Kluyveromyces lactis: one gene and its partner. The protein of the gene in region 1 interacts with the protein of each later gene in a pairwise test. Links are inferred from orthologs where the notes say so. Each region holds a gene or a part of one and is shown on either strand. Other genes may lie near its edges.

Region 1 (4,075 bases):
GGTTTCTACTGCAGTTTCGCTATCGCTGCTATCGGAGTCGCTAGATGAGGAGGACGAATCTGAGGACGAATCTGAGTCTGAGTCTGAGTCTGAGTCTGAGTCTGAGTCTGAGTCTGAACTAGAGTCCGAACTAGAGTCCGAGCTGGAGCTAGAGCTAGAGTCTGAATCTGAATCTGAACTAGAGCTAGAGCTAGAGTTTGAATCGGAGTCTGAGTCAGAGCTTGAATCGGAGCTAGAGTCTGAATCGGAGCTAGAATCAGAACTAGATTCCGAGTCCGAGTTTGACGATTTCGACACCTTTACTTCCACTGCTACTGGCTCAGATTTTTCATCTTTTATCTTAATTTTGATGTCTTTTTCGTCCTCATCATCGGATTCTGAGCTGGCACTGGAGCTAGAGTCTGAGTCGGAATCAGAGTCTGAGCTGGAACTAGAGTCTGAGCTGGAACTAGAATCTGAGTCTGAACTGGAGTCTGAGTCTGAACTGGAACTGGAACTGGAACTGGAACTGGAACTGGAGCTACTATCAGAGTTCGATTCTGAATCTGAGCTAGAGCTTGAACTAGAGTCTGAGCCAGAATCCGAATCCGAATCTGAACCTGAACCTGAACCTGAACCTGAACCTGAACTCGAGCTGTCGCTGGAATTGGAACTAGACTCTGAACCACTTGACGATGATTTTACCTTTTTGTCATCTTTCTTCGTCAATTTTGGCACTGAAGACTTGGAACTTTGCTTCTTAACACTCATCTGTAAAAATTAGACTATTTCCTCACCCAAACCACTGGTGATCCTATCGTAATCGCTCTTGGATAAGATCTGAACCTACCTCATCGCAAGCTCATCTCGTTTGGATAACGCTATTAATCTCGAATTTTTTTTCAATACGTTTCTTTTGCCGTACTATGTGACGATGTCCTGAGGTGTGGTGTATGGGTTGTTTCAGTCTTACAACTACTAAAACTGTAAAAACAACTAGCAAAACCGGCCTTTTCGTCTATTCGGCAACCTCGTTGTTGTATTGTTAATCGTGGAACTACCTAGTGGTTGCAATGGTTATTAGTTGGTCATCCAACTCTAACTTATATTGGGTTTTTGGCTCATTCTGGTTATATTGTTTGTCCGGGTAATCATTTTTGCCTCAACATTATTAATCTGAAAGATGATTTTAAGAGAACTTTAACTTTAATTAGATGTTTAAGAATCAAAGTCCAAGGACGGACAAGGGAATTAAGGTCTATCCCCGGAGTCTATCTGTACACTAATTGTGTCATTATGGAAGATGAGGTAGTGAAGCGTTCATATCACACAAGAAGTAGAGGTGGAAAGGAGAAATTAGTGCAGGACACGGTTTTTTCAGATGACTCTTTGGTTACAGACGATGAAGAATACGGGGATATTGCCCCAGATATCGACGATGATGTCTTAGATGAAGAAGAGGAAGCTGAGTTAAAGGAATCTCTAATGCAGGCGAACGCTCCTGCTCCTCAAGTGAATCCTCTTTTGAGTCGGAAATCGAAGAAAAGTTCTTCTTCTTCTAGATCTGCTGCTGCTGCAACTGCTGGTAGTGGAATGAACCATAATCTAGCAGCAAAGGATGATATCCTTCATGCACATTTGGACGATATTCCCCCTGATTTTGAGCCTGACGTTGTTTCAGGAATGTTCAAGACTAACGATTTCAGCTACTTAAAATTGAAGCCGGATCATGCCTCGCGGCCTTTATGGATATCGCCTAACGATGGACGTGTGATCTTAGAATCATTCTCTCCATTGGCAGAACAAGCACAGGATTTTCTTGTGACGATCGCAGAACCCGTTTCTAGACCATCTCATATTCATGAGTACAGAATTACGGCTTACTCTTTGTATGCTGCGGTTTCGGTTGGTTTGGAAACTGAAGATATCATAGCAGTATTGGACAGATTGTCCAAGGTTCCTGTTGCACCTTCGATTATCAACTTCATTAAGAGTGCAACTGTATCATACGGTAAGGTGAAATTGGTCATTAAGCATAATAGATATTTCGTGGAAACTTCTCAAGCTGATATCTTGCAAATGTTGTTAAACGATCAAATCATTGGTAATCTAAGAATCGATACCGATGCTGCAGTGGATGCTGCGGTTAAGAAAACCATGGCGAATAAGATGGTAGATGCAGAGGGAGTGGATCCTAACGATGTGGAAGCTGTCTTTTCAGCTGTCGTGGGGGCCAATAAGGAACTTGAAGAAGAAGACGATGATATAGATGCGGTTCATGCTTTCGAAATTGACAATGCATCTGTCGAAATTGTGAAGAAAAGATGTCAAGAACTTGACTATCCGGTGTTGGAAGAATATGATTTCAGGAACGATCGAAGAAATCCAGATTTAGATATCGATTTGAAACCATCAACTCAAATCAGACCATATCAGGAAAAATCCTTGAGCAAAATGTTCGGTAACGGTCGTGCAAGAAGTGGTATTATTGTGTTACCATGCGGTGCTGGTAAGACTTTGGTCGGTATCACAGCGGCATGTACTATCAAAAAGTCTGTGATCGTGCTTTGTACTTCGTCAGTGTCAGTCATGCAATGGAGACAACAATTCCTTCAGTGGTGTACGCTCCAGCCTGAAAATGTTGCCGTCTTCACATCAGATAACAAAGAAATGTTCCAAACTGAATCTGGTCTGGTGGTCTCGACTTATTCCATGGTTGCTAACACTAGAAATAGATCGTACGATTCTCAAAAGGTTATGGATTTCTTAACGGGTAGAGAATGGGGTTTCATTATTTTGGATGAAGTACATGTCGTACCTGCAGCCATGTTTAGACGTGTTGTGTCCACTATTGCCGCACATGCAAAATTAGGTTTAACTGCAACTTTGGTGCGTGAAGATGACAAGATTAGTGATTTGAATTTCTTGATTGGTCCAAAACTTTACGAAGCTAATTGGATGGAACTTTCACAGAAAGGTCACATTGCTAATGTGCAGTGTGCGGAAGTTTGGTGTCCAATGACTGCAGAGTTTTACCAAGAATATCTAAGAGAGAATGCGAGAAAAAGAATGCTACTATATATTATGAATCCAACCAAGTTCCAGGCGTGTCAATTTTTGATTCAATATCATGAAAAGAGAGGTGATAAAATTATCGTCTTTTCAGATAACGTCTACGCTCTTCAAGAATATGCTTTGAAGCTAGGTAAGCCTTTCATTTACGGTTCCACGCCACAACAAGAGCGTATGAATATTTTGCAGAATTTTCAATATAATGACCAAATCAATACCATTTTCTTATCAAAGGTTGGAGATACTTCGATTGATTTGCCAGAGGCGACTTGTTTGATCCAAATTTCGTCTCATTACGGGTCTAGACGTCAAGAAGCACAAAGATTGGGTAGAATTTTAAGAGCTAAGAGACGTAACGATGAAGGGTTCAACGCCTTCTTCTATTCTCTAGTTTCTAAAGATACTCAAGAAATGTACTACTCCACAAAGAGACAGGCATTTTTAGTTGATCAAGGTTATGCTTTCAAGGTTATCACCCATCTACATGGTATGGAAAACTTGCCTAATCTAGCATATTCTTCTGCTAGAGAACGTAGAGAACTTTTGCAAGAAGTTCTTCTCAAAAACGAAGAAGCTGCAGGCATTGAAGCAGGTGAGGATAACGATAGCTACATTTGGAAGAATGGTGGGAACAAGAGACCAAGGAACAAATCTAAGGCTGTTAAGAGCGAAGGATCTTTGGCTGGTTTGGCTGGTGGTGAGGATATGGCATACCTAGAATACAGTTCCAATAAGAATAAAGACTTAAGAGATCATCATCCATTGATCCGTAAAATGTACTATAGAAGTGCAAATAAATGAACAATATTGGGTTTTATAATTTATCATCCGTATTAAACTGGCATACTTTAAACAGCAAATGAATCATCTTTCCAAAAATCGCATCACGAATCAGTTTTATAAAATCCTAATACTTAAATATACCACATATAATCACTATAAAAAGATGTTTTCGTCCGCTGTCTAAAATAAACAAAGAAATGATTGCTTTTGCACAGTGAATTTCAACAGTATTGATATTGTA
Region 2 (3,487 bases), on another chromosome or scaffold:
AACATCGCCGGTCTTAACTTCATCAAACAGCAATGGAACTTAAGACATAACTTGGAGTTCACTGATGACTATTCGCAGTTAGAGCATGAGAAAAAGGTTGCAAAGAAGAGAGTTTTCGAAACTGTTCGCTAGATTTACGTCCATAAATTAAAACCGTATGCATCTTATTAAATATATAACCTGTCTCAAGGTATGTAAATATCAAGTTATAGATAATTCATCGACATCGATTTTCATCTACAGTTTTTGGTCTTTTGTTATTGTTTTTCATTTGAGCACAGATGTTAACATTTAGTTTGTGAAGTTAAAAAAAACTGACACTTTAAGGAATGACTAGCATGTAATCCAGAATAGGGTTATAAGAAATATCATGGAAATATCGTGGAAAGGAATATATTTATTCGTTGACTAGATACGTATCTGGTTGGGGTTCATATATGTAAAAACTACTTCTTTTCTTTCTATTCTATCTTTAAATAGCATGCAGCATTAGCATTCTTTTAAACCAATCTTTCTTCGAATCTCAACTCGTCCAATGCTGGCAAACCGATTAACAATCTCAAGAAGTTTTCCAAAGCAGCACGTTGTTTATTCAAGCCATTAATAGCCTTGAAACCTGGTCTAGTCAATGGTGCCTTCAACCAGTAACTCAACATAGTCAAGACAGGGTAGAAACTGTGGTAACCTCCTGAAAGGTCATTAATCTTCTTGTACTTGATTCTGGAACAGAATTCAGCCATGACTAACAAGTCAATGATCAATGGAGTAGCCAACAAAGAATCCTCACAGACGTTGTGGATGGAGATTCTGTTATGACCACCAAGCATCAATTCACTGTAATATTCATCCATGGCAACCTTAGAGTCACCGACCGCTGGCATATATTTGATAACGATACAGTGGTCGATCTTGTTACCCAGTTTGTCATTGTAGAGAATTTGGTTGGATTCAATGATATCATCGACCACACTCGCCTTGGAGATTTCTTTAGATTTGAATTGTTGTGGAGAACTCAAATTGTAACCATCGTTGTTACCCAAATGGTTGTAGGAAGCGATAGAAACTGGTCTGATACCAGCATCAACCAAGAATTGGGCCAAGACAGACTTCATCTTGGTTTGACCACTCTTGAAATCATCACCAGCGATGAAAGCGCCTTCCTTTTCAGCTAAATCAATGACACCTGGGACGAAAGTGTTCTGTGGGGAACCATTGATGTATGGAACGTTTTCCAAGATAGATGCGACAGCAAAGACAGTGGATGGAGCAATTTCTGCATGATCACTCCTGATAGCATTGATCAAGTTTTCAGCAGTATCGTTAACACCAGTCACGATGTCAGCATAACGTTCAGTGTTAGCTGTCCATAACACCAAGACTTTGTCCAAACCATTATTTTCCTTGAATTGACGAATGTCGTTACGGATGTGTTCAACGTGACTCCATTTGTCCTTTACAGACACAGGTCCAGCCTTACCATCCCTATTGAAACAGTTGTCTGCACGTTCATCTTGGTTAGCAGCGATAAAATCTGGATAGTAGATAGAAGGTAAAGGTTTGTGAGCGGACATTTCTTGACGCAATTTATTTTGCAAATCGACACCAAGAACTTCAGCTCTTGCCATTGCTGTTCCAAGGTCAGCACCATTAATATCCCAACCAGAAACATAGAAGTCATTTGGAGATACCATTGGAACTAAACTATTGAACGGAGCATAAACGTCATTTCCCTCAGCGTCAACACCAAGTTTCAAAGTAGAAGATTGTGTCACAGAACCATAGTAATTAGCTTCCTTCAAACCTTCCTTGGTTTGGAACTTAACCTTGTGCTTATTAGCCAAGATTGAAGCCAAGAATGTGGTACCGTTGTTACCACCAAGACCAACTAACATGACACCAACTTTTGGCAACTTTAAATCAACCTTGAATTCATAATCTTGAGTCACCGGTTCAACGTTGAAAACACCATCTGCACTTTTTTCAACAATAGCATTACGATAAGTATACTTAGTTGTCAATTCAGTTTCACTAAACTCAGCAACATCAGTAGCAACCTTGACGGTTGGTTTGAAAACGGTTGGTGCAGTCATGTTCAATTGTTTTTAATGATTAGTTAATTAATTGCGGGGTCTAGGGGAGAAGATCCTTTGCAATTGCTTGATGAGATAGGCTATGAAAGAATAAAAAAAAGGACAAATATGAGAGAAGATAGCAGAACCGAGTTGAGATTCAGCAAAGTGGTAACTGGAGAAGGAAGACAAGATATAAGTTCAAATAGCCCCTTTATATACCCGTCTTGCAGGTTCGCCGAAATTTTCGCCGAAATTTTCGTCCTATCTAGCTGACACTACGTATATTTCTAAAGAAACCCATACTAAAAAACAAAAACCTGTTTCACTATGTCATTGGTCGGCAAGTTCGCCGAAATTAGCGAAGCCTAGAAAAACAGCCACAAACCACAAAATTTCATATTTTGATACGCATTTCCGCTGAACTGCCACGAGTTATGTGGGGTTTCTGCCACGAAATAATGGCATGAAACGATCCTATTCTCTATAACTTGCTGGGCCAGGGCTTTCATTTCCCATGTGAAAAGGTAAAAGAGACCCAATTGACCGGGTTTAAGAAGTCAAAAGAGGGATAAACGATTACCTATTCACTTCTATGACATTCGATATTGATATCGGGTATGGAATAAGAATAATAAAAACTGTTTCATCAGTTACTCTCCATACTAAACCAGTGACGCAAAAAAATATAACGATTCTGCGGAAGCAAACACGGCCAGATCGCTTGTGAAACAGGTAGGTTTTCGAGTCACGTGAATGGAAAGTAAACATTCACGTGACCCCAAATAGTCGTCTATCTTAATTTGGTTCATTCTATGTCTTAGAGATCAATGGACCTCAGAACCCTGACATAATGTACTTTCAGATACCTGTATATGTGATATTGACATCTCCCCAGAGACCTCATCCTTCCTAATTGAGGTAAGACCCCCATCTGCTAAGAGTATGGGTTGAAGGAAAGATATGAGAAGTAAAATAAGACTAGAAAATATTAGAGATTAAAAACACCTTCTAAACAAGTTTATAATGATAGTAGTAGTAGTAGTGTGGTAAGAAACGATAAAAGGGGGTTTGAGTATCATGATACTATACATGATAATAAATTAATACAATATATTTGTTGATTTTTGACTAGTTTGATTGTTCCTATCCTTGATGGATACATATTATGACAGATGCTGCGATTAAGTTAGTTTAAGCCCATTTACCTAGCAAGGCCATCAAACCAGCACCCCAACACATAGTGAAGAAGGCCCACAACATCTTCTTCAAGCCGTTCTCACCCTTGAAGTTGTCAGAATATAAAAATTCATGGGCCATTAGTTCAACCAAACCAGTGTAGATCAAGATACCAGCAGAGATAGCATCGAAACAACCGTTAGCAATCAAAGCAGTTCTGGAACCTGGAGCGTAAGAGT

Evidence for each region.
Region 2: the proteins of SSL2 (region 1) and INO1 interact in a protein complementation assay, tested with the Saccharomyces cerevisiae proteins (2 studies listed by BioGRID). The link is inferred for Kluyveromyces lactis from reciprocal best matches to the Saccharomyces cerevisiae genes SSL2 and INO1.

What each region holds. Positions count from the first base shown.
Region 1 is NC_006041.1:1,154,021-1,158,095, reverse strand, and holds SSL2 (TFIIH/NER complex ATPase/helicase subunit SSL2), read left to right. Parts: upstream 1-1,275; coding exon 1,276-3,852; downstream 3,853-4,075. Other genes in the region: SRP40 (Srp40p), read right to left, coding at 1-750. UniProt on the Saccharomyces cerevisiae protein: ATP-dependent DNA translocase. Component of the general transcription and DNA repair factor IIH (TFIIH) core complex. When complexed to CDK-activating kinase (CAK), involved in RNA transcription by RNA polymerase II.
Region 2 is NC_006040.1:1,381,563-1,385,049, forward strand, and holds INO1 (inositol-3-phosphate synthase INO1), read right to left. Parts: upstream 2,091-3,487; coding exon 501-2,090; downstream 1-500. Other genes in the region: snoRNA-binding rRNA-processing protein DIP2, read left to right, coding at 1-132; low-affinity Zn(2+) transporter ZRT2, read right to left, coding at 3,264-3,487. UniProt on the Saccharomyces cerevisiae protein: Key enzyme in myo-inositol biosynthesis pathway that catalyzes the conversion of glucose 6-phosphate to 1-myo-inositol 1-phosphate in a NAD-dependent manner. Rate-limiting enzyme in the synthesis of all inositol-containing compounds.